Elephas maximus indicus: one gene and its partners. The protein of the gene in region 3 purifies or fractionates together with the protein of the main gene of each other region. This does not show direct contact. Links are inferred from orthologs where the notes say so. Each region holds a gene or a part of one and is shown on either strand. Other genes may lie near its edges. The genes, in order: HIF1A, RARA, KAT2B and TAF5L.

What was found.
Region 1: the proteins of KAT2B (region 3) and HIF1A purify together in Homo sapiens (affinity purification with western blotting; 4 studies listed by BioGRID and IntAct, with this or other methods). This does not show direct contact. The link is inferred for Elephas maximus indicus from reciprocal best matches to the Homo sapiens genes KAT2B and HIF1A.
Region 2: the proteins of KAT2B (region 3) and RARA purify together in Homo sapiens (affinity purification with western blotting; 3 studies listed by BioGRID). This does not show direct contact. The link is inferred for Elephas maximus indicus from reciprocal best matches to the Homo sapiens genes KAT2B and RARA.
Region 4: the proteins of KAT2B (region 3) and TAF5L purify together in Homo sapiens (affinity purification with mass spectrometry; 5 studies listed by BioGRID and IntAct, with this or other methods). This does not show direct contact. The link is inferred for Elephas maximus indicus from reciprocal best matches to the Homo sapiens genes KAT2B and TAF5L.

Annotation. Positions count from the first base shown.
Region 1 is NC_064828.1:74,095,463-74,103,438, reverse strand, and holds the start of HIF1A (hypoxia-inducible factor 1-alpha), read right to left. Parts: upstream 3,012-7,976; 5' UTR 2,963-3,011; coding exon 2,928-2,962; intron 1-2,927.
Region 2 is NC_064837.1:47,497,834-47,505,491, reverse strand, and holds the start of RARA (retinoic acid receptor alpha), read right to left. Parts: upstream 3,006-7,658; 5' UTR 2,827-3,005; coding exon 2,672-2,826; intron 2,469-2,671; exon of another isoform or gene 2,461-2,468; coding exon 2,285-2,460; intron 1,742-2,284; exon of another isoform or gene 1,181-1,741; coding exon of another isoform or gene 1,012-1,180; intron 1-1,011. UniProt on the Homo sapiens protein: Receptor for retinoic acid. Retinoic acid receptors bind as heterodimers to their target response elements in response to their ligands, all-trans or 9-cis retinoic acid, and regulate gene expression in various biological processes.
Region 3 is NC_064845.1:19,719,312-19,726,905, forward strand, and holds the start of KAT2B (histone acetyltransferase KAT2B), read right to left. Parts: upstream 3,012-7,594; 5' UTR 2,924-3,011; coding exon 2,624-2,923; intron 1-2,623. Other genes in the region: uncharacterized protein LOC126068496, read left to right, coding at 3,121-3,651. UniProt on the Homo sapiens protein: Functions as a histone acetyltransferase (HAT) to promote transcriptional activation. Has significant histone acetyltransferase activity with core histones (H3 and H4), and also with nucleosome core particles.
Region 4 is NC_064821.1:210,299,851-210,307,859, forward strand, and holds the start of TAF5L (TAF5-like RNA polymerase II p300/CBP-associated factor-associated factor 65 kDa subunit 5L), read right to left. Parts: upstream 3,002-8,009; 5' UTR 2,750-3,001; intron 2,391-2,749; 5' UTR 2,345-2,390; coding exon 2,342-2,344; exon of another isoform or gene 1,126-2,341; intron 1-1,125. UniProt on the Homo sapiens protein: Functions as a component of the PCAF complex. The PCAF complex is capable of efficiently acetylating histones in a nucleosomal context. The PCAF complex could be considered as the human version of the yeast SAGA complex.

The DNA of each region.
Region 1 (7,976 bases), on a different chromosome or scaffold from region 3:
GAGGAAGTCTGACAGAACAATGAATCTCTTCACATTCCTTTGAAATCTAAAATCCTATATGCATGTGTTTTAAGTGCAGTTCCTGAACTAAGGAATCAACATAAAATGACCTATGTTAAACCTATTATAACCATATCCACTCTGTTCTGATTTCTTCCAATCCTTCAAATTTTTTTTCCTCCCTAAACCAATACTGCTTTAAAAAAGATAAATTTCCCCACTCCAACTCTGGATACTCATTTAAAATGGAAAAATCGCATGGAATCCTAGACTATTCCCCTTATCTCACTCCCAATACATATATGGGAAATTCCTGGCCCTCAATCCCTCAATTATCTTTAAGTTCTAAAATTGTTAGTTAGAAAAGAATTAAAAAAGGCATCTTTTACCAACATCTCAAAAGACCCCCGGTGGTGCAGTGGTTAAAAGTTTGGCAGTTCAAATCCACCAGCTGCTCTTTGGAAATCCTATGGGGCAGTTCTACTGTCCTATAGGGTTGGAATTGACTCCATGGCAATGGGTTTTTTTTTTTTTTTTTTTTTTTTGGTTTAAAAGGAATCCCTGGGTGGCCAAACCATTAAGCATTCAACTACTAGCCCAAAAAAGAGCCCTGGTGGTACAATGGTTAAGTGCTTGGCTGCTAACTGAAAGCTCAGCAGTTCGAATCCACCAGCTGCTCCATGGAAGATGTGGCTCCCATAAAGATTTACAGTCTTGGAAACCCTATGGGGCAGTCCTACTCTCGTATAGGGTCGCCATTAGTCGGAATCAACTTCACAGCAATGGGTTATCAGCTCACAGGTTGGAGGTCTGAACACACCCAGAGGTGTACTGGAAGACAGGCAGGTCTGGCTTAGATCTGCTTCTGAAAGGTCACAGCCTTGAAAACCCTGGAGCAGTTGTACACCATGAATCAGAATTGACTCGACTTCAACTAATAACAATAACAACAAAAGTTGCTCAGTTGCTACCACTTAAATGTTCAACTTAATTTTTCAATTACATTAAGAACCCTATGGGGCAGTTCTACTCTTGTATAGGGTCGCTATGAGATGGCCAATGCGTTTTTTGTTTATATAGAGAAATATGAATCAATCTGATCCAAGGTTGTTAAATCTGATTGATTAACCAATCTAAGGCTCAAAATGATATATATTTTTTAATTTTAAATGACAGATGGGAAAGAGGAAAATCTAAGAGTTCCTTTAAAATTGGAGGTGATGCACAGGAGCTAATTCATGTTAAAGTTGCTTATAATATTCTCAACTGATCAACTGCAAAAAAAAAATGAGTATAATATACCATACAAAAAGGAAGTGACTGGTGCATAACTTAATACATTTTATTAAGTAGGATTCAAAGTGTAATAAGGACAAAAAGTTGGCACTACCCAGAGGTAATCTGCCTTAGGTTTACAATGTAGCAGCCTCACCATTTCATCAAAAGCATGGTAATCACTTATGCAAAATTAACTGCAATTAATTCCTGGCAATTCTTGGAATTAAGTCTAGGCCTGTTCTGTTTGCCCACTTCTTGAATTTTATGAGTGCTTTCTCTGGTATATGCAAATTGAAAGGCTAACATTTCTATTTAAATAAGACCAAGATACGATATCGACAAAATAACAAGAATATAAACAAGTTTATCTTCCGTTGATACTGATTAGAAAAATTAATCTCTCCCAGAGCATTGGAAGGACTTAACCGTAAATCCAGGCCACTATCCACAAACTCTGAATCTTCAATTCCTTAAAATGATTTCCTCAAAGGTTACAATACCAAAGTGGACCAAATTGGGGGGGAGGGGCCTGGGATCACTTTTAATTCCGCTGGTTCATCCCCGTCGCAATTAATCCTTCTATAATGTACCCCTTGGACTCAAACTTCAAGTGGTGTTTTATAAACTTGCAGTAAGTTATAATAGTATGATTATTTACTTATGATGTATTTGAAGGTTCTCCTTTAATATACTTCAATTTCAGGACCATGAGGCAGGGTTTGGAAAAATTCGCAACATTTCAGTGCTGCATTTCATTTGCTCTGGTCACATTTTTATTTTCAATCCCCATAAAACTGTTCCTCTAAATTTAACTAGCCGCTACATTTTCAACTACCATATTTTCAAGAATGAATGAGGCATATATTCATTTCGAACGTCGGGCTCTCGTGACAAGTGATAGGAACACAGTATTTAATCCTGGTGTCCTTTTTAAAACGTTATTTCTTTGAATTCCCGTGGCTCCGACTCTCCGTCTAGGCAAGTTTTTCCAGGCGATTAAAACAAAACCTGCACGTGCAAAACTAAAAAGTTAGTATTTTAAGGCCGTGGCGGCAAATCCCTAATGCACAAAGGCAAAGACACCCCTGGCGTCCGGACTAGTGCGGGGCAAGATCACATTCCACCTACCCTAGCCCCTACGTCGGAAAGCCCCGGGCCCGAGCCCCCTGGGAAGTCAGGACCAGCGTGCAGGGCCCGCCCCGGGGCCGAGTTTTCAATGGAAGCCGAGAGGAGGGGGGCGGGAAGGAGCGGAAGCTCCGGGTGCAAACGGCGGCGACCGACCTGCGGTTTATTTCTCTTCCCGGGGTTTTCAGACTGGGCACAGTCTGTCCCAGCAGGGACAGAACGCCAGCGGGGTGCCTGAGGCGGGTAGGAAGGCGACGCCGCAGGCCCCGGCCGACAGGGACGGAGGCCGCGCAGGCAGGGCTCAGACCCCGGCCCCTGAAAGCACTTTCGATGTGTCTTCCACCCCCCACGACAAGATGGCGACGTGGACAGCGGGGGAGCCGACCGGCGAGGTGGGGGAAAGAGGGGAGGGGGAGAACAGGCAGAAACAAAAAGGCCGGCCCCCCAGGAAAGCTGAGGCCCGCCCGCGAGCGCGGGGCGGGGGCGCCGGTAGAGAACGGGGCCGGCGGAGGGAACGGGCTTACTTTTTCTTGTCGTTCGCGCCGCCGGCGCCCTCCATGGCGAATGGGTCCCCGCGATGCCTTCGCGGCCGGCGGCCCCCAGGCTCGCTCCGGCCTAAGCACTGGCGCCCTCCACACGCGGAGAGACAAGAGGCAGGTCCAGAGGCGGGGGCTGCGAGGCGGGAATTCCCTCCCAAATCCAGAGGCGGGAGGAGGAGGCGGCAACCGCGAAGGTCCAAGGCTGGCTCGGAAGAGCCCCTCCGCGGGTTGCTTGTCGGGGCCGGGCCCAATGCACTGGCCGAACAGGCGGCGAGGGCGATCCTCGCCTTCCCTCAGACCAGACGGCTCTGTGCTCTGAGGCGCAGGGGCAGCGGCAGGGGGCGGACAAGGGCGGAGGCGCGCTCGGGCTCGCGGGGAGGGGCGGGGCGGCGGGAGCGCGCCCGCCCGCGGAGCCCGCCGCGCGCTCTTGCAGGCCCGCCTCACCTGAGGGGGAGGCGGGTTCCTCGCGAACCAATGGCAAGCGGAGCAGGCGGCCAGTCCCCACCCCAGCCCACGTCGCTCTTAGCCAATCAGGCGGCGGTCATCTGGGCACAGCTGGGACAGGCTCCAGAGCTCACGTGCTCGTCTGTGTGCAGCTGCGGGGGAAAGAGAAAGGACCTGGGTGGAGGCTGAGCCCGAGTCTGGGGACTGTGCGCCTACTCCTAGATGGGGGAGTGGCTGGCTTTGGGAGGCAGTGCCGAAAAGGGATTTCGGTTGCAGAGTACCAACCCTGCATTACATTTCCTGCCTCTAGATGCAGTAATCTAAGTCTCCCGCTCTCTTTCCCTCCTGGGGCAGTGCTGGGCAGGGTTGCCGCCCAGCTTTTCTGAGTTTTCAGTTCAAAAAAAGCAGACTTTTGGCGTCGTGGCAGCAAGCCCCATGGTTTTTTTGCTCAGAAATGTTACAACGGGGTCTTTCTTTGCCAGGTTACCCAACCACGGGCCACGTCACCGCACTCTGCCTTGGAACCTAATGGAACTCTCGTCTTCCACTGTTTCTGCAGTGGAGTTTGATTACTAAGTAAATGCAAATAAAAATTTAAAACAAATCCTTCTTATTGTAAACTTCTCAAGGGAAGGAGTTAGCGTTGCGAGAAATCTTAACATCTGAAATTATTCAAAGCATTTACAAATAGGTGTAAGTAGTCTTAATAAATGAGACGTAAATCTGAGCTTCAGGGAAGGAATCGGAAAAAAGGTTTTAGACAGACTTTTGTTCTGGTTTCTTGCCTCATTAAAAGTGGAAGACAATCTTTAGATTGAGACTTACCGCCTTGAGTTGACTGCCCTGTGGACTAGACAGACAGAGACAGAAGGACTCGCCAAACCCTCACCTAGGGCGGGAGGCCACGGAACCCGAGTTAACTCCGTAGGGTGAGATCAGTATTGCTTCATTACTAACGTGATCTTGACAGCCACTGATTAAGAATCAGTTTTTGACTTTGAAAGCGTAAGTTTAACTTTGTCAGTCTTTTAAGGTAAAAAAGAATATATTTTGAACTCAGCAAATAAGGATTACATACATATTTCCACTTGACACTAGATTTTACTTCTCACCTTTGTCATATCAGCATATTGTTACTGTCTAGCTTTGGGTTATATATTAATTAATGTGGATATCTGTGGCGGATTTCAATTATGTTGGTTCATAAAAACAATGGTCTATATAAGATAGCATTAAACCGTTTTTAACTGGTCAGTAGATTTTTTTAAATTAGAGCCATAAAGATAAGGTTAAAGATTGATCTCAAATATCACTTTTGTTTTTCAGATCTACAAAGCCTAATGATACGTATTCTAGAAAAGAACCACGGAAAATGCCTGGAATGAGGAAAGGACTGAAAATAATTATTCATTTTTTAAATTGTGGAACGACTAACTCTGGATGTTATAAAACCTTTTAGTTTAATATTCCACAAAAGTAGTGTTAAGAACACTGGCTCCAGTGTTAAGAGTGGGCTTGAATATCTGACTTAACTAGGGAGTCATTTCACCTTTCTTGCTCAGTTTACTCATCTGTAAAATAGGGATAAGTGTCTGTGCCATGGAGCCCTGGTGGCACAGCGGTTAAGCATTCGGCTTCTGACCAAAAGGTCGGCAGTTTGAATCCACCAGCCACTCCTTGGAAACCCTATGGGGCAGTTCTACTTTGTCCTATAGGATCACCTGAGTTGCAGTCGACCTGATGACAATGAGTTTTCGGTCTGTGCCATAGAATTATGGGACGATTAAATGAGAACATAGGTGTAAAGCACTTAGAACAGTACCTGGCACTTAGTAAGCAATTGATAAATGCTAGCTGTTAGTATTGTTGTTGGTTTTGTTTTCATTATTATTACCCCCAAATTTGTGCCTCTGCTATCCAAGCATGTCAATTAGGTTCATATAAATTCACATATATCTTCTCTATTTCCAATCTGCAACTGCCCATGGTGTTCCCATCCTTGTATATGACCATGGCTATAGAAATCTTCAGTCGTTTTCTTTCTCATTATTCTTATAAGCTGTTCTCTCTGGCCAGCAATTAAAGCTGTAGTGTATAATGTCTGTGACATCAGAAGTTGAGTATTTTGTAAGAGCAAATCTAAGTCATTAAAAATTTTTTAATCATTTTAAAAGATTAAATAAGATCATCATTCAATCACCAAAAGATATTTTAACATATTCCCCAAAGTTCAATTTTCCTTTCCAAAATGTATAAACTATATTTTATGTGTGAATGTTTATGTATGTATGTATATACAAACATGAACATGGAAAGCAGTAGCATACACACACATATAGGAACATGGAAAACATTAATATTCAACCAACTAGCTTTCATGTAATTACAGAGGACCCTAACTGTATCCCTAATTCAATCAATCCTGTTAAATAACAGAATTCCAAAAAGCAAAATTTGCTGTGGGATAAAATTTTAAATCACTCCCTTTACAGCCACCTATTAATAAATGTATAGGTTATTACTATAAGTATGTTTAATCACTTTCTGATCTTTTTAAGTGTCCAAGGTTCATTTCAAGTCACTTCGCAGAACTTTTAAAGTGACTACAAGGTTACTTGCAAATGATTTAACCTGCATTTAGTAGAAAGTTGGGCAGAGATTGAGAAGCAAACGAGGTGAAACTTGAAATTTATATTAACCAGTTGTCGTGGAGTGACTCCTACTCATGGCAACCCCAGGTGTGTCAGAGTAGAACTGTGCTCCGTAGTGTTTTCAGTGGCTGATTTTTCAAATGTAGATCACCCAGCCTTTTCTTTAGAGGCGTCTCTGAGTGTACTCAAACCTGGACCAACCTTTCGGTTAGCAGTGGAGTACTTATCCTTGTGCACCCCCAGGGGCTCCGGAATTTATATTACTACTAAGTAATATAGAACATCTAGTCTTTTGAAAAGTGAAACATCAGATTCAGGTAATTTGAAGTGTATCAAACTATATAAGAAGATTTAGTGGCTAATGTGATTCTTGGCTTACTGTTACCCTTAGGTGGTGGTGGGTTCCCCCTCACCCTTTTATGTATTCTCTGGCAACAACAACAAAAAAGGGTACAATTTGGAAGAAAAGTGCTTAGAAGATAAAACCAAAAAATCTGTTGCCATCGAGTCGATTCCGACTCACAGTGACCCTAAAGGACAGAGTAGAACTGCCCCCATAGGGTTTCCAAGGAGCGCCTGGTGGTTTCGAACTGCCAACCTTTTGGTTAGCAGCTGTAGCTCTTGACCACTGTGCTGCCACTAGGGATCCGCTTAGAAGATAGCAGGCATTGCAAATCTTTTATTTATTTATTTTTTGTTTCAAGGATCAAAACAAAATAAATATGTATTTCGCCTCAGTTTATGAAGAATATGATAGACGACTGAAAATTTAACATTAGCACATTTCAATTATGATCAACATTTTTAGTACAATAAAAAAAAATGAATACCCTTCTGAAGTCAAGTTTTTGTATCTTGCCATAACTACATATGTGCATGGTTATGGATGTTATAGCATACATATTATGTTATGGAAATGCTATGCTATCCATATGTGGATATGTTAAGGATGTAGTTAAAAAACTCAAATACTGCAAATGAACAAATACAGAAAACTAAGTCTCCCTGATCTCCCTTGCCTCTTCCTCCTCTTTGAAGGTACCCACTGCTACAAATTGTTTATATATCTAACCAGAGATATCTTATTAGTATGCCAAAAGACCTATGTGTCCTATCATTTTTGCACAAATGATAGAATAGTATACGCTTTGTTTACGCACCGAATTTGTTTCTTGCAAAAAATTATCTGGTCATATATATCTGATATTTAAGATAATTTATAATAAAATAAACAGGTGTATAATGAAGTAGAATGCAAAACTGCACTAATTTTAAAATAAAATTAATGTTAACATTAATATTTATGAGCAAGGATCTTTTCAATTTTATTGCAAATATATTTAGGTTTCTCTAGGCAGGTTAGAAAAGAGAAGTTTAGCAGCTGGAAACTTCAGAAAGACAAAGTTTCAGACGTTGCTTTGGGTAAACCCCACATGTCAATGTCCTTATCTGTTGTGAAAGCTATCAACCAAAGAAATTACAAATAGAGAAAATTGCTTTCTACCTATATCCACTCTTCTAATCAGTTAAAAACATGATTTTTATTCTCCTTGTCCTGACTATTTGTAGATGACTACTCTAATTTTGCATATCCCACATCATTTTTCGGCTGCACAAACAGAACACTACATCTGTTCATTGTAAATAAATGACTAACAATTTCAAAATTTAGTTCAAACCAGGTTAGATTTACTTGATTTTTATGAAATTAAAGAGTGAAAAGTACACTATAAATTCATGAATTCTATAGTAGGAGTTTTAAGAATTCACCCACTAGATTTTGAGCACGTTATGATTGTGATATGAATTAATATAATTATTCTTTATTGGGGGCCAAAATTCAGATTTGATCACATATCCCTAGAGGAGACACATCTTCAAGTTTTATATACAGCCTGCTGAAGTTCTGCCAAAACACTGTCGAACAATAAGCCCTTGC
Region 2 (7,658 bases), on a different chromosome or scaffold from region 3:
TGTAACCCCAGCCCTGAGAGCACCTGTGATGATGCTCAGAGTCCTTCCCTTCCAGAGGAGCATGAACCCAGATAAGGCAGCAGGTGAGCAAGGTGACCAGGCCACCAGGAGTCCTTAGCAGCATCCCTCTTAGGAAGTAACAGTCCAGTGACTGGCCCTATCCCTGACTGTAGAGAGGGTAACAAATGGAAACAGCAGGGTTGAGAATAGATGCATTCCTCAATTCCAGAGTAGCCCCAGACCCATAAAACGGAACTTCTCCCCAGAGAACAAACCAGACTAGGGGGAGGGGGGTTCTCCCCACCAGAGCAGCTTCTCACCACTCCTGGGACAGGAGTCTCAAAGATGACAACCAAGTGTCTAGGGCCAGGACAATCCCTAGATGGATCAGGTGCCCCTTCCCAAGGTGTAAGGACTGGTTAGGATGGCAGCCGGGTGTCTGATCAGGTTCCCCTTTCTGTCACACCCCACTGCCAGCAGCACTCCCCTGACACTCTACTGTCCAAAGAGCAGGGGCTGGGGGCAGCAGCTGCTGCACAGGAGGGGGCTCTCCCTCAGACCTTGGTAGGAGCAGAATCTGGGAAGGAGGCCCCTCCTCCTCAGAGCAGGCAAGCCCACAGACAGGACCTTCACCCCTCCCTCTAGGGTGGGAGAAAGGACCACTCAGCTTCAAAGCACTGGATTCTAAGCAAGAAAATATAAACTGGGGGAAAGGGGCTTCATTTTCCCTGAAAGAAGTGGGAGGAGAGAGGAACGAATGTCTCCTGAAAGAAAGAACCCCCAAAGTTCTTCAGACCTAACAAAACAGAAACAGCACCCAATGGTTGGTGGCTGGCGCACCAATTGTCCAGCAAGGACATCTGAGTTTGAGCAAACGGGACTAAGGAGAAAGTCAAGGGTCGGAACAAGCCACCAACGTGCCCCAGGCTCGCATCCCTGGGTAGGAGTGAAGGCCCCGCCACCCATCCCATCAGCAGCTCCTACAATGAGAGAGGGGAGGCCGGTACGTACAGTGGTTTGAGCCATTCCAAAGCGGAGTCCGGAGCGGGGTGGAGTAGGGGCCCGGGGCGGGAAGCCCTTTCTCCGGGAGCAAACAGGCCCGGTTCTGGTTATAAAAATCCACCACTAGGAAGGGGTTAGCGGAAGGGGTGAGCCCCCCCACTTCCACACTCTCGTACATCTTCCCCCGCGAAGACAAGAGGTCCGGGCGGGGAAGTCCTGCACCGCCCTCTCACTCAGCCGTGGGCGCCATCCGTGGAAAGCCGCTGGGGGCGAGGGACACGTCCCCCCACCTCTACTGGTGGCCCAGGCAGGGAGCCGCCCCCTGCCCTTAAGTCCCCGAGTCTAAGTCCGCTGGCAGTTCCACCAGTCCCAGGTGAAAAGCGTGGAAGTTGTGCGTGCTGGGGGGAGGGTGTCCCTCGGCTCTCCCAGGGAATGCCTGGCGGAGGCCCGGGAACTCAGCGGCTTCACCTCGAGGGGCTCCCGTCTCAGTCTCCTCGTGTCCGAAGCAGAGTCCACCCGCTCCCCAAGTCCGCAGGCAGGGGGTGGGATTGGCGCAGGGCGGCGGGAGGGGGTCACCGAGCACTTCCTCCTCCCAGCCGGGGCTCCCGGGCTTCTCCGGGTGAGGATTCCGGGTGGGGGTGGGGACCCACGCGGCTCCGCCTCCACCGAGGCCCGGGGTAGCAGCAGGCACCTCGCTGGGTCCCCAGCAGTGCCCGCCGTGCCCCCTACCCCCAGCACAGCGAACCCCCTCCTCTTCAGGCCCCACCCCCTCCCCTCCACCCCGCCCGGTTCAGGCACCGCCCCTGGCTTAACCCTTCCCTAGCGGGTCTGGCTGCAGAGGGCAACACGCTGGGAACCAGGGAACGACAGGGAGAGGCGGGATGTGGACAGGAGAGGATTGGGAGCCTGGGAAGGGGAGGAGAAAAGAGGGGGAGGAAGGGGAGAAAGGCACAAGAGGAGGAGTAAGCAGAGTACAGATGAAGGCAGGGTACCAGGAGAGGAGTGGGCTGCGGGGCCGAGGCAAGGACAGACGTGGGAGGGGGTCTTCACCCACCCCCGTTCTGCCTCCCGGTCTCCCAGATGGTTTGGTCAATACCCTGCCAAACCAGGGGGGAGCAGGAGGAGGCGGTGGTGTCTCGGTGTCCGCCTCCTAACACACACCCCCACCTAGCCTGGGTCTCATTTGCCTAATATAATACGGCTGAACTCGCCTGGCGGTGCCTCACCTCCGGATGACCCACCCACCGCCGCCCGTGACAACACCCGCTCACCACCGGCTCACCAGCCTTGCCCCGGGGCTGGCCGGCCGGTCTCCTGCCCAGCCGGGCCTGGCCGGCTCCTCCATACACTGGGAGAGAGGACACGGGAGGGTAAGGGCTGCGGTGTGAGCGACCGAGTGTTAGCGCCAGGAACGAGGCATGTCGGGTGTCCGGGGTGTGACACTGCGTAGCCGGGGCGCTGTGTCGGAATGAGACACCCGGCTTGTGTCATTGTCTGTGACATCATGTGTGACTCCGGCTTCCCGCCCGCCAGAACCCTACAAGGCAGCGCGGGCGGGTGCTGTTGGCACACACACACATAGAGGGGGCTCTCCTCCCTAAGCTCTGCTCTGCATGCTTCCTCCGCCTAGAGTGTCTCCCAGCCCAGGAACCAGGATGGGGGCCCCCACCTCACAGTCCAGCCTTGGAGAGAGAAAAGGAGGGGGTTGGTGCCTTCCAGCTGACCACTTTCTCCCAGAAGCCCAAGGTTGCCTATTTCATTTGAATAAAAACCAAGGTTAGGTAGCTCCCTAGAAGGAGGGAATGACCCTAGAGGAGGGGGCATCCCATTACCCACCTCTTACCCTGTCGCCAAGCTCCCTCCCTCTGAAAAAGAAAGGAATGGGAAATTACATGCTTCCCAAGGATGTTCTTCTAGTAGCCAGGTTCTTCATGTATGTTGTCATTTAATCCTTACAGGAACTCCAAGACATAAATGGGCATTACTCCTATTTGACAAATAAACTGAGATCTCCGCAAAGCTACGGGTGGGTGTTCCCAGGTCACACTACCAATGAAGAGCACAATGAATATCTGAACTTTCTGCTGCCAAAGCCCATGTTCCCACCATGCCAGGCCAACTGGATTGTATCTCAAGAAAAACTATTTTCTGAGCACCTCCTATGCGGATACCCTGGTGAGCAAAACAGTCCCTGACCTTGTATACCTTACAGAGCAACAGACATTAAGCAAATAATCACAAATTATATATACATACATGTATACATATATATATATATCTAAAACACACCAAACCCATTGCCATTGAGTCGATTCCAACTCATACTGTCCCTAAAGGACAGAGTAGAAGTGCCCCATAGGGTTTCCAAGGAGCGCCTGGTGGATGTGAACTGCCGACCTTTTGGTTAGCAGCCACAGCTCTTAACCACTACACCACCAGGACATATATACATATATGCACACACATATATATAAATGCAAACTGAGACAAGTGCTATTATGACATAAGCATAGTGTGCTTTAAAGGAAAATTAATGGAGGTACCTAATTTAGGTTGAAGGATCAGGGAAGACCTCAAAATAAAGCAGAAACCTAAAGAAGGAGTAGAAGTGAACCAGGCAGAGTAGGACAGAGTACCGTCTCAGTAAGAGTGTGTGCAAAGGTGCTGGGGTTACAGAAGTTGGTGAGTTAATTCAAGGGACTGACAAATGACCAGGGTGGCTGGAGCAGAGAATTCAAGAGAAAAAGGGATACAAGAACAGGTGGGCTTGTAAGGCCCCAATAAGGCTTTTGGATTTTATCTTAAACGCAATGGGAAGCCACAGAAAGGTTCCAAGGAGGGGAGAGGCAAGATCAGATTAATAGCCCCAAAAGATATTCCTAGCAGCTGTGGAAAGAATGGATTGTAGGAGGGCAACAGACAAGTTAGAAGCTACTGCAACAGGTCAGGCAACAGAAAATGGTGGCCTGGGCTAGGAAATTAGCAGTGGTGATGAACAGAGGAAGGTGGGGTCACGAGATCCTTTAAAGGTAGAATCAATGTGGGGATGGGAAAGGAGGTAGCAGAGAGGACGTTCTGGTGTATGGCTTATGCAACAGCAAAGTTCCTCCTGAGACCGCAAAAGAGAGAAGTCCACTGGGCTATTGGGACAGGTGGGTGTGGGACTCAGATATGAGGTCTGGAAGGCTGGGGCCTGGAGCAAGTATGCAAGCATTGGGAGTATATGAGATTGCCAAGGAATCACAGACCCTGGTATCTTTCCTCCCAAATGATATAGCTCCTGGGTACCAGTTATGCACCAGGCTCTGTGTTCAGAGCTACAAGGCACTAAGGGACCCAAGACCCTGTCCCTGCCATCAAAGAACTTATGATCAGGGACAGGCCTCCCAAGTGATAGCAATTCACAGTAGGAACAAGACGGGGTAGTGTAACTAGGTGGTAAATGAGTGTTATTTGAGAAAAAATAAGGACCCATAGGCATGCAAGGAAGGGGGAGACAGTGTGGCAAAAAAAGGGGGAAACATTTGCAAAGGTTTCTGGGAAGAGGCAGCATGCAAGATGTTCCTTAAAGGATGGAGAGTATTTCCAGAGCAGGACAGGAGGAGAACCTGGGGGTGTGGGGTGAGATGGCTGTTCTGGGCAAGAGCAAGGTCGTGCAGTGGGTCAGAGCAGAACGCCATGTCCTAGGGCAGTGGGAGAGGAGGGAAAAAGGCAGTTCTGGGGCCTGTTTCAGCCGCACCCCCCTCCAGGGCTTTGCGTTTATTAGGCCCTCAGCACATGTGGGCTGAGCTGAACTGGCCACCTTATGCCAGGCAGGGTTCCCTCCTGTCCCCAACCCTATCTGGAGGCCCAACAAACAGGAAGTCATGAGGCCCGGTGCCAGGCAGACATTGGGTCCCAGTACAGGGTGACTATCTCCCAGGACAATGCCTAGCTCCACCCCATCATCACTGCCCTTGCAAGATACTTGCAGCTCATCCAAGCCCTCGCCAGCAAGCGCTGGCCAGCAAGTGGGTCACAGTGGCCTCACAGCAACTGGCCCAGCCAGGAAGGGATCTAAAGAGGAGGAAACAGACTCAGAAAGAGGTAGGGCGACCTGCTGAAGGCCGAGCAGGAAGAGGTGTCCTTTAAGACTTCTGCCCAAGGGAGCTGTGGTCTATGGGCTAGCTGGGGTTTCCAGCAACCCAGAAATCAAAATGAAGTGGGAAGGGCCTCTATTTTTGACCTAGCCAGTACTGTGCCCACGTTCCTAGGAGGGGGAAGAGGAGGGAGCTGGAGGAGGGAAGCAGTCTGAGCCACCCCAAAATGATTTGGAGAAGAGAAGTACTTCCTCCTTCCTCAGATGTTACCCCCAAAGGGCAGTCAGGCCCTGCATGGGAGTAGCCTCAGGAGCATATGTCAATTGGTATGGGGTGGAGAGGGCGACAGGCTTCCTTTCCTTTGTCCCCTCCCCCAGCCCTTTCTGGGATCCTGCCCATGAGGGGGCCGCTGCATTATCAATGCTGGGAGATAAAAGGTGAGGGGCCCCATTTTCATTCAAAGCCCCAGATCATAGTCTTTTGGCTGATTCTGCATTTTGGACCCTATGAAAGCCTTTGCTAGGCAATACCCCCTCCCCCTGGGCTGTCCCTCCTATTGTCCAGGGAAAGAGTAGGGAGAGGGAGGGAGGATGCACAGGCAGCTGGCTTGGGAAAGGCCCCAGCCACCTTCCTCCAGGATGCCTTCCCTGACTGCAAAGGGGAGGAAGTGGCAGAGAAGGGGGACAAGGAGAAGGGGCACACCCAGAGATCCTGTGGCCATCCCCCAGTCCTAGGCACACAGAGCAAGTATGTGGACAGAAAAGTCTTGATCCACTCTTTTGGGGCTCTCATCACCTGGCTCCTCTATTGAGTGCTTCCAACTTCCCTGCCCCTACTCCCCAAATTGAAACAAAATAAGAATAACAACTGTGGCTTTTCCATTCTGTTCCTTCTGTGTCTGTCTGGAAGGAGGGTACCCACTGAGCTCTGCAGACTCCACAGGCTACAGCGGGCAGACTCCGGGCTGGGGACGGCTGCTAACAGACTGTATCTGCAGCTTCCAGGATAGGATGCGGATCTTCCTGGCCTCTAGTCTCCCTTTCCCTCCAGCCTCAGCATCCAAAACAGAGAAGAGGGAGTGTGGCCTGGGTCCTTCCCTGTGCCCCCTACTGGGGAAGACAGGGGTCAGACTGAAGAAGCAGGGTCTCTGCCATGGGGCAGGGGTGTCAACAATGGCACTGACCCCCCAAGGCTCTCCACACACAGGAGTGCCCCCACAAGCCCCTCCTGCAGCTATCAACCCCACAGACCCAGCTCTGCCCTCACTTAGCCTCTGCCAGCCCCGGTTTCCTCATGTGTAAATGGGAACCAAGCCCCACTCCCAGGACTGTAAGGATTAAGATTTGTACAACATATACAAAGTCCTCAGCACACAGTAGGTGCCCCACAGATGTAGGTATTCCTTCTCTCCAGTTCCCACCTAGAAAGGGCCTGAATTCCTTTTCACTACCACGTGGTAGGCGCTGCACCCCCACCATCACACACAAGGCTGCAGCTAAGGTCATTACGTCTATGTTCTTGCCTAATTCTCATCCTCTAAGGGAAGTTCTCGTAATATTCTTGTTAGGCTGACAAGGAAACATGCTAAGAAAGGTTACCAACACATAGCAAGCAGCAACGCCAGAACTCGAACCCAGAACCGGCACCAATATCTAAGCTCTTAACCACTAAGCCACACTGCGTACTCCAAGCCCCCAGTCAGACCCCTTTGCCCCTGAATTCTGAGGGCAAGCAACAAACAAGGCAGGGCAGTTTTCCTTTCCAGCCTACAAGAGCGACTCATTAGGGGGAGAGTAAATGGGAGTACGTAGTAAGGTGTATATAAGCTTATATGTGACAGACTGACTTGATTTGTAAACTTTCACTTAAAGCACAATAAAAATTATTAAAAAAAAAAAAGGAAATAGAGACCCTCCCTCCTCAAACACACATATAGCAATCCACATACCACTCCCCTTCATACTCTATGCCCTAAGCTACCCCACCCCAACCCCAACACACCAACAAGCTGAGATCCCCTCCCTGGTGCTTGACTTGATTCTTCCAAAACATGCTCAACTCTCTGACCCTCTCCACCCAATACACACAAGCCCATTAACCCCTTTCCCAACACACACCCAACCTTGACCCCTCACCCCTAAAGTACACATAATCCTGACACCCTCTCCCAAAGCACACAGAACCCTGACCCTTCCCACAATGCACACAGAATCTCAAACCTCCACAGTAATTGCCAGTCCTCGAGACTAGGTCCCAGCTAGGGGCTGGTTTGGGGGGCAGTCCTGCAGCATCTCTGGGGCCTCCTGCTCTAGCTCCCTGGGAGACTGGTAGCAGGACAAACACCCACCCCTCCCCACAGTGACCTGGAGAGGACTTCTGTTATCCCACAGGCCACTGGGTCTCTGAAGGGTATACCCAGAACACCAAAGGCCCAGCCCCCTCCCCACTGGGGGAAAGAAGGTGAGATGAAGGAGGAACCACCTCAGCGCCTTTGTTTGGTGGGGAGTAGGATAAAGAAGCCTCGTCAGTGAGGTTCCCTACAAAAAGTTTGTTGAGGACCAGAGCATACTACTGTAC
Region 3 (7,594 bases):
CTGTCCTTCGGGGCTTTTTACATGAAATATAGAGACAAACAGAAAAAAACATGGATTCTGCTCTCTGGCACCACCTCACACTCAACCAAGCCCCTTTAAAACAAAAAGAAAATCTGATAATGTCACTCTCCAGGTTAAGATTCCCAGATGCCCCAGTGCCCTCCTGGCCACACCCCCCAACCTGATCACCTGGCCAGTGGAGGCCTGGCTCCTGCTGGCCTGGCTCCAAGCTTTCAGCACAGCTTTCAGTTTCTCCTTCTCAAGAAGTTTCACCCCACCTCTCTGCGCTATAGCAAGAGTTCTTATAGCACCCACTGACACTTCCTCCAGGAAGCCATCCCCACCCTTCCCCTGGTACCCAGTGAACTGCCCTGCTCTGGTTCCCACACCACTCTGAGAAAGTAGTTTTTCCAAACTTTATTGTAACTGCTTCACTCTCCAACTCCCCAAGTCCTGAAGACAAGAGATGCACACTCATCTGCACGCTGTCCAGCAACACCATGATAGATTCTGGGTGTCTCAGCCCCAGCACAGTACTTGGCACCCATATGGGACCCCTCTATATTATTTACTGAATGAATAAGTAAATAAAATTTGATGCTTGCAGAGTCTCCCAAGAGCAGGAAGGTAAGTCTCTAAAGGAGATATGAGAGGTTTTTTCCTTCCTGTAAGTTTGGTAGTAAATGGAAACATGAAGCTCAAGTCACAAACTTTAGAAAAGGTACTACATCTCACTCATGGAAATTTGGAAGGATCAAAAATACCAGTGCAGGGCACATAGGTTCCTGGTTTTACACAGAACCAAAACTTTAGGAAGTCATCAGATATTAAGGCAACAGCCAGGGAGCAGAGAGAAAACGTGTTTACGATGGGAACCCAATAAAACACCAGGACAGAAACACCCAGCTGACGCAGTCGCTACCTGAACTACCTGAACCAACCCCACCTGCAAAACTCCAACCCCACTGCATAATTGAACTTGTTCTTGATTTTGCGTATAGCTCTCTCATCTGCCAACTACACTCAAGGTCCTGTTCTCACTATCCTGTCTAATGCCCTTCATAACCAAACTCCTAGCTTTGCCTTTCGTTTTTTTTTTTTTTTTATCTTTTTTTGCATTCCTTCTTCAGAAATACCAACCACATGACATTATCACTCTACAGTTCCAGTTTTCTTGGCTGAATTCAAAAGGGACTAATACCATATTATCCAGGTCTGAACTAGATCTTGCTACCTTGGAATTGAACCAGCATTGCATCGCCTGGAAATTTGTTACAAATGCAGAGTCTCAGGCCCCACCTCAGACCTAGTAATTCAGAATCAGCATTTTAATACTGGTGATTACCATGCACATTAAAGTCTGGGAAGCACTGTACTGGTTCCTACATTCACTCAGCAAATATTTATTGAATCAGTGTAGGGTACACAGTAGGTGCTCAATATATATATGAGGATGGTAATGGCTGGGATGAGAGCAAACACAGACATTTCGTGTAAATACTAAAAAAGCATCACCAGGAGGGTCAAGATATTCTAGCTGGATGAATAACCGTTACACCAAAATTCAGAAGTGACCATTGTAGCGCGGTAGTGGCAATCTGGAACCCTGGAAACTTGACCCTGTTTGCAGCAGGCGGGAGGAATACACGGGAGGTGGTGAGTGCCTGTGAGTGTGTCTTCCCCGCCTCAGCCACAGGCCGCAGGAGCTGACAAGGCCAAGTCCCCGCCCCCCTCAGCTGTCACCCTGTCAAAACAAAGCCGCTGCTGACAGCGCAGGGCCAGCTTGCCCCGCGGCCTCGGGCAATCGTCCCTCCCCAGGAGTGCAGCCCCTACATCTGGGTCTACAGCTGGGGGGCCATGGGGCGCCGAAAGCTGGGACGGAGAAGGGGATGGCTTGAAACGTGTGTCCTCAAACTGAGCAGCAGCGCCCGCTGCGCTGGGCTGTCACCTCGCCAAATCCTGTTTACACCCCGAGCAGCTGGGACAGCATTTTAACTAAACAAGTAATAATACAATAATGACAGTGCTGTCACCGCGTGCCGCAGAGCCTCCCCCCCCCCAGGCGCTCCAGGACCCTCTCCTTGGGCTGTGCCCACCTTCCCATCCCGCGCGTTCCGTCCCTTCGCTCCCCAGGTGCCTGGAGTTCGGGAGCCTTTTCCACCCTCACTCCTTGCACCCATCCCCTCCCAATGGGGCAAGGGGCAAGGCCAGGCTCACAGGGGGTTGCTCAGTCCCCAAGATGCTTCCCTGGCCCTGGGGCGCCCCGCCACACCGTGAGCACCATTGCACTCTCCGGTAGGCGCCTCTGGCGAGCTCCTACACAGCGACAAAGCCCCAGGGCAGCCCGGGAGCTCGGAAGCTAAGGTTACTCGGTCCGAGAGGGAGAAATGAAGAAAGGGCTTTCGATCTTGGGGATCCCCCTTCTCCCAACCCAACAGGACTCTTATCCAAGAAGGAGCTAACTGGGCGCGGGCGGCAGCAGCACTTCCGCGGTGCAGAGGCCCCAGGCGGGAGGCGGGAGGCGGGAGGCGGGGCGGGGCGGGGGCGGAGGGAGAGGGGGCAGGGGTCCCCCGGAGCTGGGCCCCTCGCCCCCACCCGCGGGCTGGGAGCGGCGAGCCGGTACCTTGCAAGCGGAGTACACTCCGAGTTTCTCCAGTTTCTTGGCCCGCGGAGCGGAGCGCAGCTGCGCCTTCTTCACGGCGATCCGGGCCGAGCCGCCGCCTCCCGGTCCTTCGGCCGTGCCCGCCGCCGCCACTGCCGTCGCCGGTCCGCAGGCGCCCGAGCCCCCGGCGGCGGCGCACGGGGAGCCCTGCGGGGGCGCGGGCGGCGGCGCGGGGGGCTGCGGGGGTAGCGCCCCGGGCCCGGCCCCCGCCCCGGCTCCTGCCCCGCCGCCGCCCGGCCCGGCCCCGCCAGCTTCGGACATGCCGGCCCGGAGCACGGCAAGAGGCGCCGAGTGTCAGGCGCCGCCGCCGCCGCCAGGGTCTCCCTCTCGGGTCTGGTCGCCGGGAGCGCGAGACCCTCCCCCCACGCCCTCCCGCCCCTTCGCCCACCCCCCTCCCCGCCCCCGCCCTCCCCCGCGCGCCGCGCGCCCCGCTCGCTCCGGCCGCGGCCCGCGCGCTGATGGTGGCGGCGGCGGCAGCTGCGCCCCAGGAGGGAGGGGACTCGCGGCCCGGCTGCCGCCGCCGCCACTGCCGCCGCCGCTACACACGCCCTGGCCCGGCTTCGCTCCCCGGGGCTGGGCTCCGCTCGGGGGCCGCGGACATGTCCTCGCGGCCACCGACGGGGGTGCTGGGGTCGGGGCGCCCTGGGCCTCTTTCCGCTCCCCGCGGGGTCTGCGCCCCCTGCCCCCAGGCCTCGGCACCTAGCGCTCACCCGGCAGGGGGCGAGGCCAAGCTCGGGCTGGGGGGTGAGGGTGGAGTGGAGGGTGGGGGTAGGGGGCTGGAGCCCAGGCACCTGCTGGCCGCCTCCCCCCGCCTTGCCCGGCGGCCCCTCCGCCGACCCTCGCGCTCCCGAGCCTGGGGCAGGGGCGGGGGACTCCAGTCGTTTGTCCTGCCACTCCGTCCCACCCTCCCTCGGAGCGAGACAACTTCCTCCACCCTAGCGGGAGCCCGAGGAAAAAAAATATTTTTGAAAAGTACCCGTCCATGCTAATCCTTTCTTTGTTGCTAATTCACCAAAATAAAAGACTTGGTGTTTTCTTTTAAAATACATTTCTGTCAAACTTTTTTTTTTTTTTAATTAAAACGCTTTCTTCCTATAGCAACTTCTGGACCAAATCTGCCACAAGAGGGAATAGACTGTTATAGACTGTTAATCAATACGTTCGGTAGGTTTTTTTTTTTTTTTTTTTGAAAGTGCTGATAGTTAGAAGAACGATTGCCTAAAAGCACTGTCAAAATAAAACTGTGCTAAGCCGGAAAAGTTGGAAAAATGTTAGGGTTCATCATCATTGCCATTTTCTTTTTTATAATTTTCCTTAGTTTTTAACTTTGATGCCACCAGCATGCATATGAACCGGAAAAAAAAAATTGTTTAAGCAGCGTCCAAAGGAGAAGTGTAGATTTTGGCCTCAAACTTTTTTTTTTTAGCTGAACTGTGAGTTTTCAACTCATGCTGTTGCTGGCCTGGAGGGTGGTGTTTTGGAATGTTCACTCCACATTTCAGTTTTGCATTTGAAATTCGTGCCAGGTCGGCCTTTCGAAGACTTTTTAAAGGCCCACTGCTGTTTCTCAGTATCCTTCAGAAGTGCCCTAATTTTGCAGGGCGAGTGTTATCATATGTAAAATGGGTCATAATATGCTTATCGGATTCTTCGGATGCCTTCTAGCTCCCACCCACCCCCACAGGAGGCCAGACACGCCTTAAGCCACCGTGTTTGTCCCCGGGAAACAAACATATTCCTTCCCCTCCTTCCTCCCCCTCCCTCTGTCCCCCCTTGAATTTTTTTCTATCCTTTTTCCCAGATTTTCTTTGTTCTTTTGGCTTTTCATGCAGAGGGGTATGTAAAAATTGAAAAAAAAAATAACTTTGTACGTTGAAACAGTGATGTTAGAAAGGGCAAAAGGAAATTTCCACTCCTAATTTGAGTCCACTCTGAAGGTCTGAAAGACTCATCAGTTTCCATCAGGACAGTTAGTTCAGTGCTTCCTTTCTTGGCTTAAGGTGCTTCACTTGGCTCTGCTGAAGTGTTTTGCAATTTTTTTTTCTTTTCTTTTCTTTTTTTTTTTGGTCATTCTTGCCAAAGCAGGATGGGAGTCTTAAAAGTCGTGATCCTCTAATCAGACTTTTCGAGCATCAGAATGTTAGCAAATCTCTTAAAAATCCTCGAGCAATATCACGTAGTGATTTGGGTTAGAGCCCTGGTGGTACAGCGGTTTAAGAGCTTGGCTTGCTAACCAAAAGGTGGGCAGTTTGAATCCGTCAGTCGCCCCTTGGAAACCCTGTGGGGCAGCTCTACTCTGTCTTCTAGGGTCACTATAAGTTGGAACCAATGGCAATAGGTGTGATTTTTTTTGGTTGGTTTGGGTTACATTGTAGACACTGTCAAACTCCTGGAATGGTCTACTTGAGATCTGTGCACTTAATTTGATGTAAAGTGAATTTCAAAAAAATTTTCTGAATCATAAACAAATACTGAACTCCAGTTAATGATATGCATGCTGAAAGTTTAGGGGTGCAGTGTACCGACATCTACAACTTATTTTGAAATGCATCAGAAAATAAGATGAATTGATGCATCCATCAATGGGCACAGGAGTGGATGAACAGATGTGTGATAAAGCAAGTAGGGCAAAATGTTAATGGTAGAATCTAGGTGGTGGGTGTTCACTGGATAATTCTTCCAACTAATCTGTACGTTTGAAAATCTTTATAATAAAATGTTGGGAGAAAAATCTACCTTTAATATTAACTTACCTCTCACAACTACTCCTAAGCTACTCCCAGAATTCAGGAAGCAGGCTATTCCCAGAATGTTTTGAAGCAGAAGTAACCAGCCTCATTTCAAACCACTCTGAAAACCATCACTGTCTGAATGGTGAATGGCTTGTGACATCAACTGAATATGATTTTTCATTATTTTCCTGCTCAGAGCATCCAGATGACACACTGCCTTAGGCTGAAGGCCCACCATTTTAAGGCATATTCAAAATGTGTTATGAGCACCAGGCAGGGAAATTTCAAAGGCAAAGGATGCAAGAGCCTTATTGCCTCTTCCTAATCAGGCTAATAGGGTCGCTATGAGTCGGAACTGACTCCACGGCACCTAACAACAATCAGGCTATTAAGAGCATTTAGTAAGCTTTAAGCTTTCCTGTGTGCACAGCACTCTGTTACCCTGTAGATACCAAGAAAATAAAAGACGATGTTTCATTTTAAAAACATTTGCAACTCACTGAGGTAAGGATGCCACAAAAAAGAAAAAAACAAAGGCACAGGGAGTGAGAATTATAGGGGGCGGGCTGACCACTAAAGGTTACTTGTGGTATATTTATATTACAGAATATTATGCAGCTGTTATAATAGAGTAGCCTTTATATTGTATCAATTCAATAACAGCTCTCCAAGAAACACTGTTGAATGAACCCTGGTACAGTGTAATACTATTTATGTTAAAAACAAACTCACATTGACATATAAATGCAATTCTGTGAATGTTCAATCAATGCAAATAAAAATGTAAAAGCAAGAGAAAGATCTAGAAGGATGCATGGCAAACTCTTCAGCGTAGTTTCATGATATGGGGGAGAGCAGAGCAAGGAAGGTAAAACAAGAGGGGATCCAGAACTTGAGCCTTATTGGCAACATGTTAATTTCAGATTTTTTTCCAAATTTTTTTCAAATACGACAGCTTTATTGAAATGTAATTAACATCCCATAAAGTCCACCCTATTAAATTGTACACATCAGTGAGCTTTAGTATGTTCACTAAATTGTACAACCATCATCACAATCAATTTTAGAATATTTTCGCCACCCCAAAAAGAAAACTCTCAGCCTGTCCTCCCTCCAGTCCCTGGCAGCCATGAATCTAATTTCTGTCTCTATAAATTTGTCTCTTCTGGACATTTCATATGAATGGAGTCACAGTACGTGGTCCTCTGTGACTAGTTTTTTTTTTTTTTTTTCACTTACCATGTTTTCAGGGTTCATCCGTGTTGTAGCATGAATCAGGATTTCAGCTGTTTTTATAGCTGAATACTATTCCATTGTATGAATTTAAATGTTGCTGAGTGGCACAAATGGTTTGCACTCAACTATTAAGCTAAATAAATCTGTCTTGCAAGAAGCAGGACCAGAATGCTCCTTAGAAGCAAGGACGCCCACACTTTGGACCTGTTATCAGGAGGGATCAATCCCTGGAGAAGGACATCATGCTTAGTAAAGCACAGGGTTAGCAAAGAAGAGGAAGACCCTCAATGAGATGGATTGATACAGTGGTTGCAACAGTGGGCTTAAGCATAGCCCTGATTGTGAGAATGGCTCAGGACTGCGTAGTGTTTCCTTCTATTGTATGTAGGGTCACTATGAGTTGGAACCCACTCAATGGCACCTAGCAACAACAACATTAATCTAAAGGTTGACCCTTCAAACTAAAGCAGGCAGTCATGAAAAGGTTATTAAGCATCCCATCATAGTTTTTCAGAAAAGTCTAATCTTGCTATGTTTTTGTTACAACTTTTACAGCACTTCGCCATGATCGGTCAAATCCACAGGTTTCTTGTCTTCTCCTGGCAGGAGGCCAAAGCACAGGAGCACAGACTCCGAATCTACCCACTACATGACCTTCCCGGGGGTGGCAGGAGCAAGCCGATGCCATTTTTTCAGGGCTCTGCCCAGTATTTTTAGAGCAGTGGGCAAAAACCCATTCCCTAAAATTATGGGGGCTGCACACCTCAAAGGACTGAAGATCGTCCCCTCACTGTTCATGCATATGTAAGTCACTCCCTATAAAGGAGCAAATCTGCCCTGGTCCAGAGTGCTGGCATCCTTAGGTCATGAGACCCTGCCTGTCTCCCAGTTTGCAAACTGTGAATAAACCTTTCTGTTCTTCCAACCCTGTGTCTGGCTGACTTCAATTCGCTAGTCTGCTTGA
Region 4 (8,009 bases), on a different chromosome or scaffold from region 3:
GAATGAAAAAAATTCAACCTCCACTGTCATTTTTGAAGTTACACTAATGTGGCCTTTGCTTACCTATCTAGACCAAATTCTTGGCTTTCCTCACTCTACCAGCTGGTCCCAACCCACGTCCTCACCTCGGGGGCTTTGGTAATATCCCTCCATTAATCAGAGTCCCCCCTACATTGGCACTCAAACCTGGCTTGGCTGAATTCTACTCATGCTTCACAGCTCAGCTGGGCTTTCTTGATCACAGGCCCTTCCACCCACTGCACCCAGGAACAAACCTTTCTCACAGCACTCATCATACTAGGCCTGTTTCTTATACTACCACCACGACTAATACCTAACATTCACTGAGGCATACCACGAGGAAGACACCATTTAGGTGCTTTACACAGATTCTCTCCTTTAATCCTTACAACAGCCCTATGAGGTACGTACTATTTTTCAAATGAGAAGGCCTAAGGAGTGAGAAAATTTGTCCAAGGTTATGCAGTGCTGGAACTCAGGCCATTTGGCTGCAGGGTTTGAGCTCCTACCCTTTACAGAATCCTGCTATTTAAAGGATCCTACTGTAGACCAAGGGCTTCTTGGGGGAGCACAACAGCAGCAGCTTAACAGATGCTTGTTGAGAGAACAATCAGTGCAGCACATGGAAGAGAGGCTGGACGCTTGAATCTGGTACAGTCCAGTAAGTCATGCTAGTTAGGCAGACTATCCCCTTGGCCTTTCCAGCTAAAACAAATGAACAAAAACCAAAACCCCTCCCTGCCCCCAAAGATGTTCTTTATAGGTCCTAGCATACCATTTGCAACAACAACAACAAAGTTACTGAGCAGTGAAGTGAGTCCTTTACCTAGTTTCAGAATCACAGAAACACACACAAACCCTACATTTAGAGACAGGAACAACAAAACTATTCCAAGAGACACTAATCGTTGATGAAAAGGAAAAACACTCAAGGCAAGCCCACCTTTTGCTTTTCTAGTTAACACTGATTTTCAAGGCAGGGAGGATTTATAATTCATAAAGAAAACCAAAGCTAGTATGCAGCCCACTTAACACAAAAAACTTCAGCCTACAAAGAACCCAGAAGGCATTTTGCAGAAGGAAATTATAATAGCTGATACTTACAGAGTCTTTCAAATGTCAGGTATTTTCGCAGTCTTTTTTCCCCTAGATTTTATTTATTTTGTTGTTGGTGTTGAGAACATACGCAGCAAAAGATACACGAATTCAACAGTTTCTACATGGACAATTTAGTGACACTGATTACGTTCTTCGAATTGTGCAACCATTCTCACCCTCCTTTTCTGAGTCGTTCCTCCCTCATTATCACAAACTCACATGCCCCCTAAGGTTCCTATCTGTTGTCGGTTTGATCCCACACAGATTAATTCTCTAAAGCGCGCACTGCTCAAGGCAGGCCTTTTTTACTAGTTAAGCTGTTCGGTTTTAAGATGACTTCTGGGGATATTTTTGGTTTAAGGTTTAAAGACTATCTCATGGCAGTAGTTTCAGGGGCACATATTTCTTTGTTTCTCTTTTTTTAAAGTCCACTTGTAAATTATCAGGCATTACTCCTTTTTGCAGATGAGTAAATTAAGGCCCAGAGAGGTTACACAGATGGATACATAGTTTCAACCCTAGGTCTACTTGGTTACCAAGTTCTATCCACTCATGAACCTTCCCACAGTTTAAAGATATGGCCCGATGCACTTACCCCATAAACATAAGTTAAATTTCCCTTCCTACTCCACTTTCAGCAGGGCTGTGACCAAGGCTGTGGAGCCACCTCGTATCGCCCTCCTCCCCATCAAGTACTCACTTGTATCACCTAACAGGAGGCAAACTCCGCCCTCACTGTCTTCTCAACACAGCGCCCAACTGTTTCTTAGCGGGAGTTACCACTGAGAGATTTGAATCTGCAAGGTCAGAGTTGAGGTAATTTAAGATGAACGCTAAACGGAACTGGCAGACTTACTTTCTGATCCCAAAACAATACAAGTTGTGAGATCCACATTATAACAACACTTTCACAACTGATAGAATTGCATAAAGCGTGCCTGTACTCCACTTCCGCTAAGTCTAAAATGACACCACGATTTCTAACCATCAACTCATTTCAGACCGTCTTATCTGATCATATTTTGAAAAGCCCTGGAGATTTGCGAGTAAAAGGTGGTAAAGTAAGACTATCCCCTAAACGTACAAATGTTAAGCAGCTGTCATTCGTTAAAAAACCTAGAAGGCAGCCTTGCAGGTCAGTATCCTCCAGCAACTAGTCCGACTCGAGATCTACTGTGTCGCACGCAGGAGATGGGTCTCACATCCATCCACGCGCAGTTACCATGTGCTAAGTTTCATCCTGAGTTTGTCCAAAGGACACTTCGTTTTTCCTTTAAAAGAAGAAGAAACGCGGCTCTGGGCTCTGGTGCGCGGCGCGGCGCGCTCGGCCGTCCAGCTCCGACCCCTTCCCCGTAGCTGCCTCCCTCCCATCAGCTCCCCGGCCCCGGAGCCACCCGCAGGACCAGCCCCGGGCGAGAGCAGCAAGCGCCTCCGCGGAACGCAGGCGGCGGCGGCGGCCGGGCCCAGCGCGGCGCGCGGGGAGCAGGCTCCGGGGCTCCGCGCCTCCCCGCCCCCACGCGGCCGACGGCAGGCGGCGCGCCCCGCCTAGGCCTCGCGGCTCCGGCCCGGGACACCGCCCGCCCGCGCGCCCTCCGCGTCGCGCCCGCCCGCCCGCGCGCCCCGCACTCACTGAACATCCCAGGCGGCTCCGGCTCCTCCCGCCGCCGCCGCCGCCGCCGCCGCCGCCTCCGGGATCGGGCCGCTTCCGCCTCCGTTGTCTCTGCGACAGGTCCTCGCTCCGACCGCCGGCTCAGCCGGGCCCCCGCTCCCCGCTCCGCGCCGCCAGCGCGGCGGCTCCGGGCGGCCGCTCCATGACTGACTGACACGGAGCGGGCCCGCGGGGCTGGGCCGCTTGGCCCTCAACGCGCAACCGTCTCCGCCAATGGGCGAGGCGCCTCGGCGCTCGGCTGGCGATGCCTGGCGTGCCCGACGTCCCGCCCCCGCGCCGCCCCCGCCGGCGTCGGGGCGGAAGAAGCTCGGGGCCGGGTCTCCCACGTGGTGCTGCCGGCGGAGCCGCGGAGCCGGGCCCGGAGCGGGCGGCCAGGTGAGCGCCGACCCCCGGGCCGCAGTGCTGAGCGCGGCCGGCGGGACTCGCTGCAGCTCGCCCTTCTCCTGCTTGCGGCGACTCCCTGGGGCTCCTGCCGTTTCGCTGGGGCCGTGTCCTAGCGCCTGGTGCTAACCGGGTCGCTGCCGGAGCTGGACTGCTCTCCGCCGCCCTGCCAAGACGAGCCGAGCCCACCAGAGCGGGTCGGGCGTTGGGGGCCCTGGAGTGCGCCCCGGGCGTCCTTAGCCAGTGCAGCAAACGCTCGTTAGGCCCCTGGAGCCGGCGCGATGGCAGGCGAACGTGGTGCGCTTAGAAGTTTAGGAGATAGTTGTTCAGTTGGTGTTGAGCGTTTTGACATCACAGAGAAACTGACAGGACGTGACTGCACCTGTTCTCGGCAGTGAACCGATTGACGGGTGCTGTGCGGACCTTAAATGTTCCTCAGGGTTCGCTCCTTCGCCACGCGCTTACTGAGAATACCTTCTGAAGGTCTCGAAGGCTTCGGAACCCTTGGATTTGAAAAACGCTGACTAGATCCAGCCAAATGCTTTTGCTTTGACAGAACTTAGATTAGAATCATAGGGCTGCAATCTTTTTTGGTATTTGTGTTCTACTTTGTTTTTATTTGTGATGATTTTACGGGGTATCATGAAAAATTTTCTCTCTTGAACAGGCTTGTTTACTTTTATATAAGGGAAATGATTTAACCTGGTATGGTTCCTTTTTTAACTGTCAGGGAACTAGAAGCCAAGTTTATGTCAGTTTTATAATTGTAGGTGGTTGGCATGTTTGCTTTTTTCCATGAATTTATTGCATTCTATTTTTACAGCTTTTAATTATATGCTTTTTGCAGTCTTTTAGGAAGCAGTGTGTATCAGTGCTTTTAAGTTTATACATAAATGAATAAATTTGTGGTGGGAAATTACTGATGCAACTAAAATCATGATATTTCTATTGGGATTGGGTTAATATGTTTCTTTTTCACTTGGGGAAATATTACCTTCTCCCAATTGTAGCTTCTTTATTTCTTTGACCTGTTTAATGGAGCTGGTACATACCCAAGGCTGGTGGCGTAGTGATTAAGTACTACGGCTGCTAACCTAAGGGTCGGCAGCTCAGATCCACCAGGCGCTCTATGGAAACTCTATGGGGCAGTTCTACCCTGTCCTGTGGGGTTACTATGAGTCAGAATCGACTCGACGGCACTGGGTTGGGGTTTGGTACTAATACATAGTGCATAGTGTATTTTAGAAAATTTGTGCAAAAGCTTAAATTTTTTTTTTAAATTTAAAACCATGTTTGACAAACCTCTTTCCACAAGTAATTGAAACAAAATGTTTTCCCCAGCTGAATTCTTGAACACTCATTTCTGGGGAAACTCTTGAGTTTGAGGACAGCAGGAATATTTATACATGTGTGTGATCCATATGTTGCTTGCTTTTGTTTGAATTTCCACCAGAAAATTTTTGGGTTCAGGCATCTTATGTGTAGATCTATTTTCAGAAGTTTTGTCAATGTGCTTTAGTTCGTTAAATATGTTATGTTGGAGCCCTAGTGGCACAGTCATTAAGTGGTACAGCTGCTAACCAAAAGGTCAGCACTTCAAATCCACCTGCCACTCCTTGAAAACCCCATGGGGCGGTTCTACTCTGTCCTATAGGGTCGCTATGAGTTGGAATGGACTTGATGGCAGTCTGGTTTTTTGGGTAAATGTTATGTAGACAATAAGGTATACACTATTCATTTTCTGGTGCTTGTTGAGTTTGATCATATACAGCGCTTTTTCCATTGGGGTTTTGTATGTGAGTGTATTAGGTTAAATTTACACACAGCAAATTAGGTTCCCATTTAACAATTTTTGTACAAATTATTCCATGATACAATTTTAACAATATATCAGTATTCTCATTATTTCAATTGTGTTTGTTCTCTTTCCATTGATCTAGCTTCCCTTTCCCTCCTTACCTTTTCATCTTTGCTTTAGGGTAAATGCTGACTGTTTGGTCCCCTATGTTGTTCTTAGGTGCCATCAGGGCGTTTCCATGTCACAGCGACCCCGTGTACAGCAGAACGAAACACTGCCAGTCCTGCACTATCCTCACAATCGGTGTTATGCTTGAGACCATTGTTGCAGCCACTGTGTCAGTCCATCTCGTTGAAAGTCTTCCTCTTTTTCGCTGACCCTCTACTTTACCAAGCATGATGTCCTTCTCCAGGGACTGATTACTTCTGACTATATGCACAGTCCTCGCATCTGAGGAGCATTCTGGTTGCACTTCTTTCAAGACAGGTTTGTTCGTTCTTTTGGCAGGCCAAGGTATATTCAATATTCTTCGATAACATCATAATTCAGAGGTGTCAGTTCTTCTTTGGTCTTCCTTGTTCATCGTCCAGCTTTCACGTGCATATAAGGCTATTGAAAACATCACGGGTTGGGTCAGGCCCACCTTAGTCTTCAAGGTGACATCTTTGCTTTTTAACACTTTAAAGAGGTCTTTTGCCTCAGATTTGCCCAGTACAGTGCGTCTTTGGTTTCCTGACCACTGCTTCCATGGGTTTTGATCGTGGACCAAGTAAAATGAAATCCTTGACAACTTCAATGTTTTCTGCATTTATCATGATGTTGCTTATGGGTCCAGTTGTGAGGATTTTTGTTTTTTTTATGTTGAGGTGTAATCCATACTGAAGGCTGTGGTCTTTGATGTTTATTAGTAAGTGCTTCAAGTCCTCTTCACTTTCAGCAAGCAAGGTTGTGTCATCTGCATAACGCAGGTTGTTAATGCGTCTTCCTCCAATCCTGATGTCCCGTTCTTCTTCACATAGTCCAGCTTCTTGGATTATTTGCTCAACATACAGATTGAATAGGTATGGTGAAAGGATACAACCCTGACGCACACCTTTCCTGATTGTTTAAGGGAGCGCGTTGCTCACGGTTGATATTGTTTATTTTAAAAGCCAATCTACTATTTGGCAGAAAGGTGACCTCCAGAAGTAGCTTCAGTTCCAAGTTCAAAGGGTATTTTTGGGTGATGACTTTTTTAGGAGTTTGAATTTCGTTCTACATCTTTCTCCAATTCTATCTGGGACCTTCTATCGTGTCCCTGGTCAGAACAGTCGGTAGTGGTAGCCGGGCACCATCTGCTTCTGGTGTCAGGTTAGAAGAGGCCATGATTTCTGTGGGCTGTTAGTCCTGTGGACTAGTTTCTTCTTTGAGCTTTTGATTTTCTTCATTCTCTTTTGCTCCACAGGAGTAGAGACTAATAGTTGTATCTTAGATGGCTGCTTGCAAGCTTTTAAGCCCTCAGACGCTACTTATTCAACCGGGATGTAGAACATTATCTTTATGAACTAAGTTATGCCAGTTGACTAAGTTGTCCCTGAGACTATGATCCCATGCCCTTTACCCCAGTAAACTGATCCCATGAGTTGTTTGGATATATCTGGGAAGCCTCCATAAATGTGCCCATATGTGCTTTGTTATGGATCTATCTGCAGCACACACAAACATGTATGTACACATGCCTATAGATAACAGCTTGTTGCAGCCACTGTGTCAGTCCACCTCGTTGAGGGTCTTCCTCTTTTCCGCTGACTCTGTACTCTGCCAAGCATGATGTCCTTCTCCAAGCATAACAGCAATTATAAGGATGATTTAGGACCGGGCAGTGTTTCGTTCTGTTGTGCATAGGGTTGCTATGAGTTGGAATCGACTCGACGGCACCTAACAACAACAACAACACAGATACACCTATACGTGCACATGCATTTACTCACCCATGCCTTCTTACACACGTGTGCATACATATCTACCTACGTAACCACGTATTTTGGTTCTTGTTACTGTTGTTCCAAAATTATGTGTGTTATAGCATTCACCAAAATTGTCCCTTTTTCTTTTGTATTTCTCAGTGTTTTTATTTACCTTGGTCAAGTTGTGCTGACTTTACCCATATTTGGTATTGCCTTTCCCTTCACCAAAAATAACAAGTATCTACTATCCAGAAAGTGATTTCCCCCTTCTCACCCTCCCATTCCTGGTAACCATCAAAGTGTTGCTTTCTGTGTGTATGTCTGTTCTTGACTTTTTATAATAGTGGGACCGTATAGTATTTGTCCTTTTGTGATTGACTTACTTCAATCAGTATAATGTCCTCCAGGTTCCTCCATGTTATCTGATGTTTGGTGGACTCCTCGTTATTCTTTGTAGTTGCATAGTATTCCAGTGTGTGTATGTACCATAATTTATCCATTTATCTGTTGTTGGGCACTTAGGTTGTTTTGCTTCTTTTTGCTATTGTGAATAATGCAGCAGTGAACGTAGGTGTGCATGTGTCTATTCGTGCCACTGCTCTTACATCTCTTGGATATATACCTGGGAGTTGGATTGCTGGATCGTAAGGTATTTCTATTTTTAGCTTTCTGAGGGAGTGCCATACTGTTTTTCATAGTGGTGGTACCATTTTATAATCCCACCAGCAATGTGTAAGACTTCCAATCTCCCCACGACCTTGCCAGCATTTGTTTTCTGCTTTTTTTTTTTTCCTATCATTGCCATCTTTGTGGGTCTGAGGTAATATCTCGTAGTTTTGCCCTATGGGGCAGTTTTACTCTGTCCTGTGGGGTCGTTATAAGTTGAAATCAACTGGATGGCAACAGGTTTTTTTTTAATGGCTAATGATCATGAGCATTTTTTCAGGTATTTATAGGCCCCCTGAATGTCCTCTTTGGTGAAGTGTTTGTTATGTCCTTGGATTGTTTGTCTTTTTGTTGTTAAGTTTTCTATGTATTTTAAAGATCAGTCCCATATCAGATATGCATTGCCGAAGATTTTTTCCCAGTCCGTCGG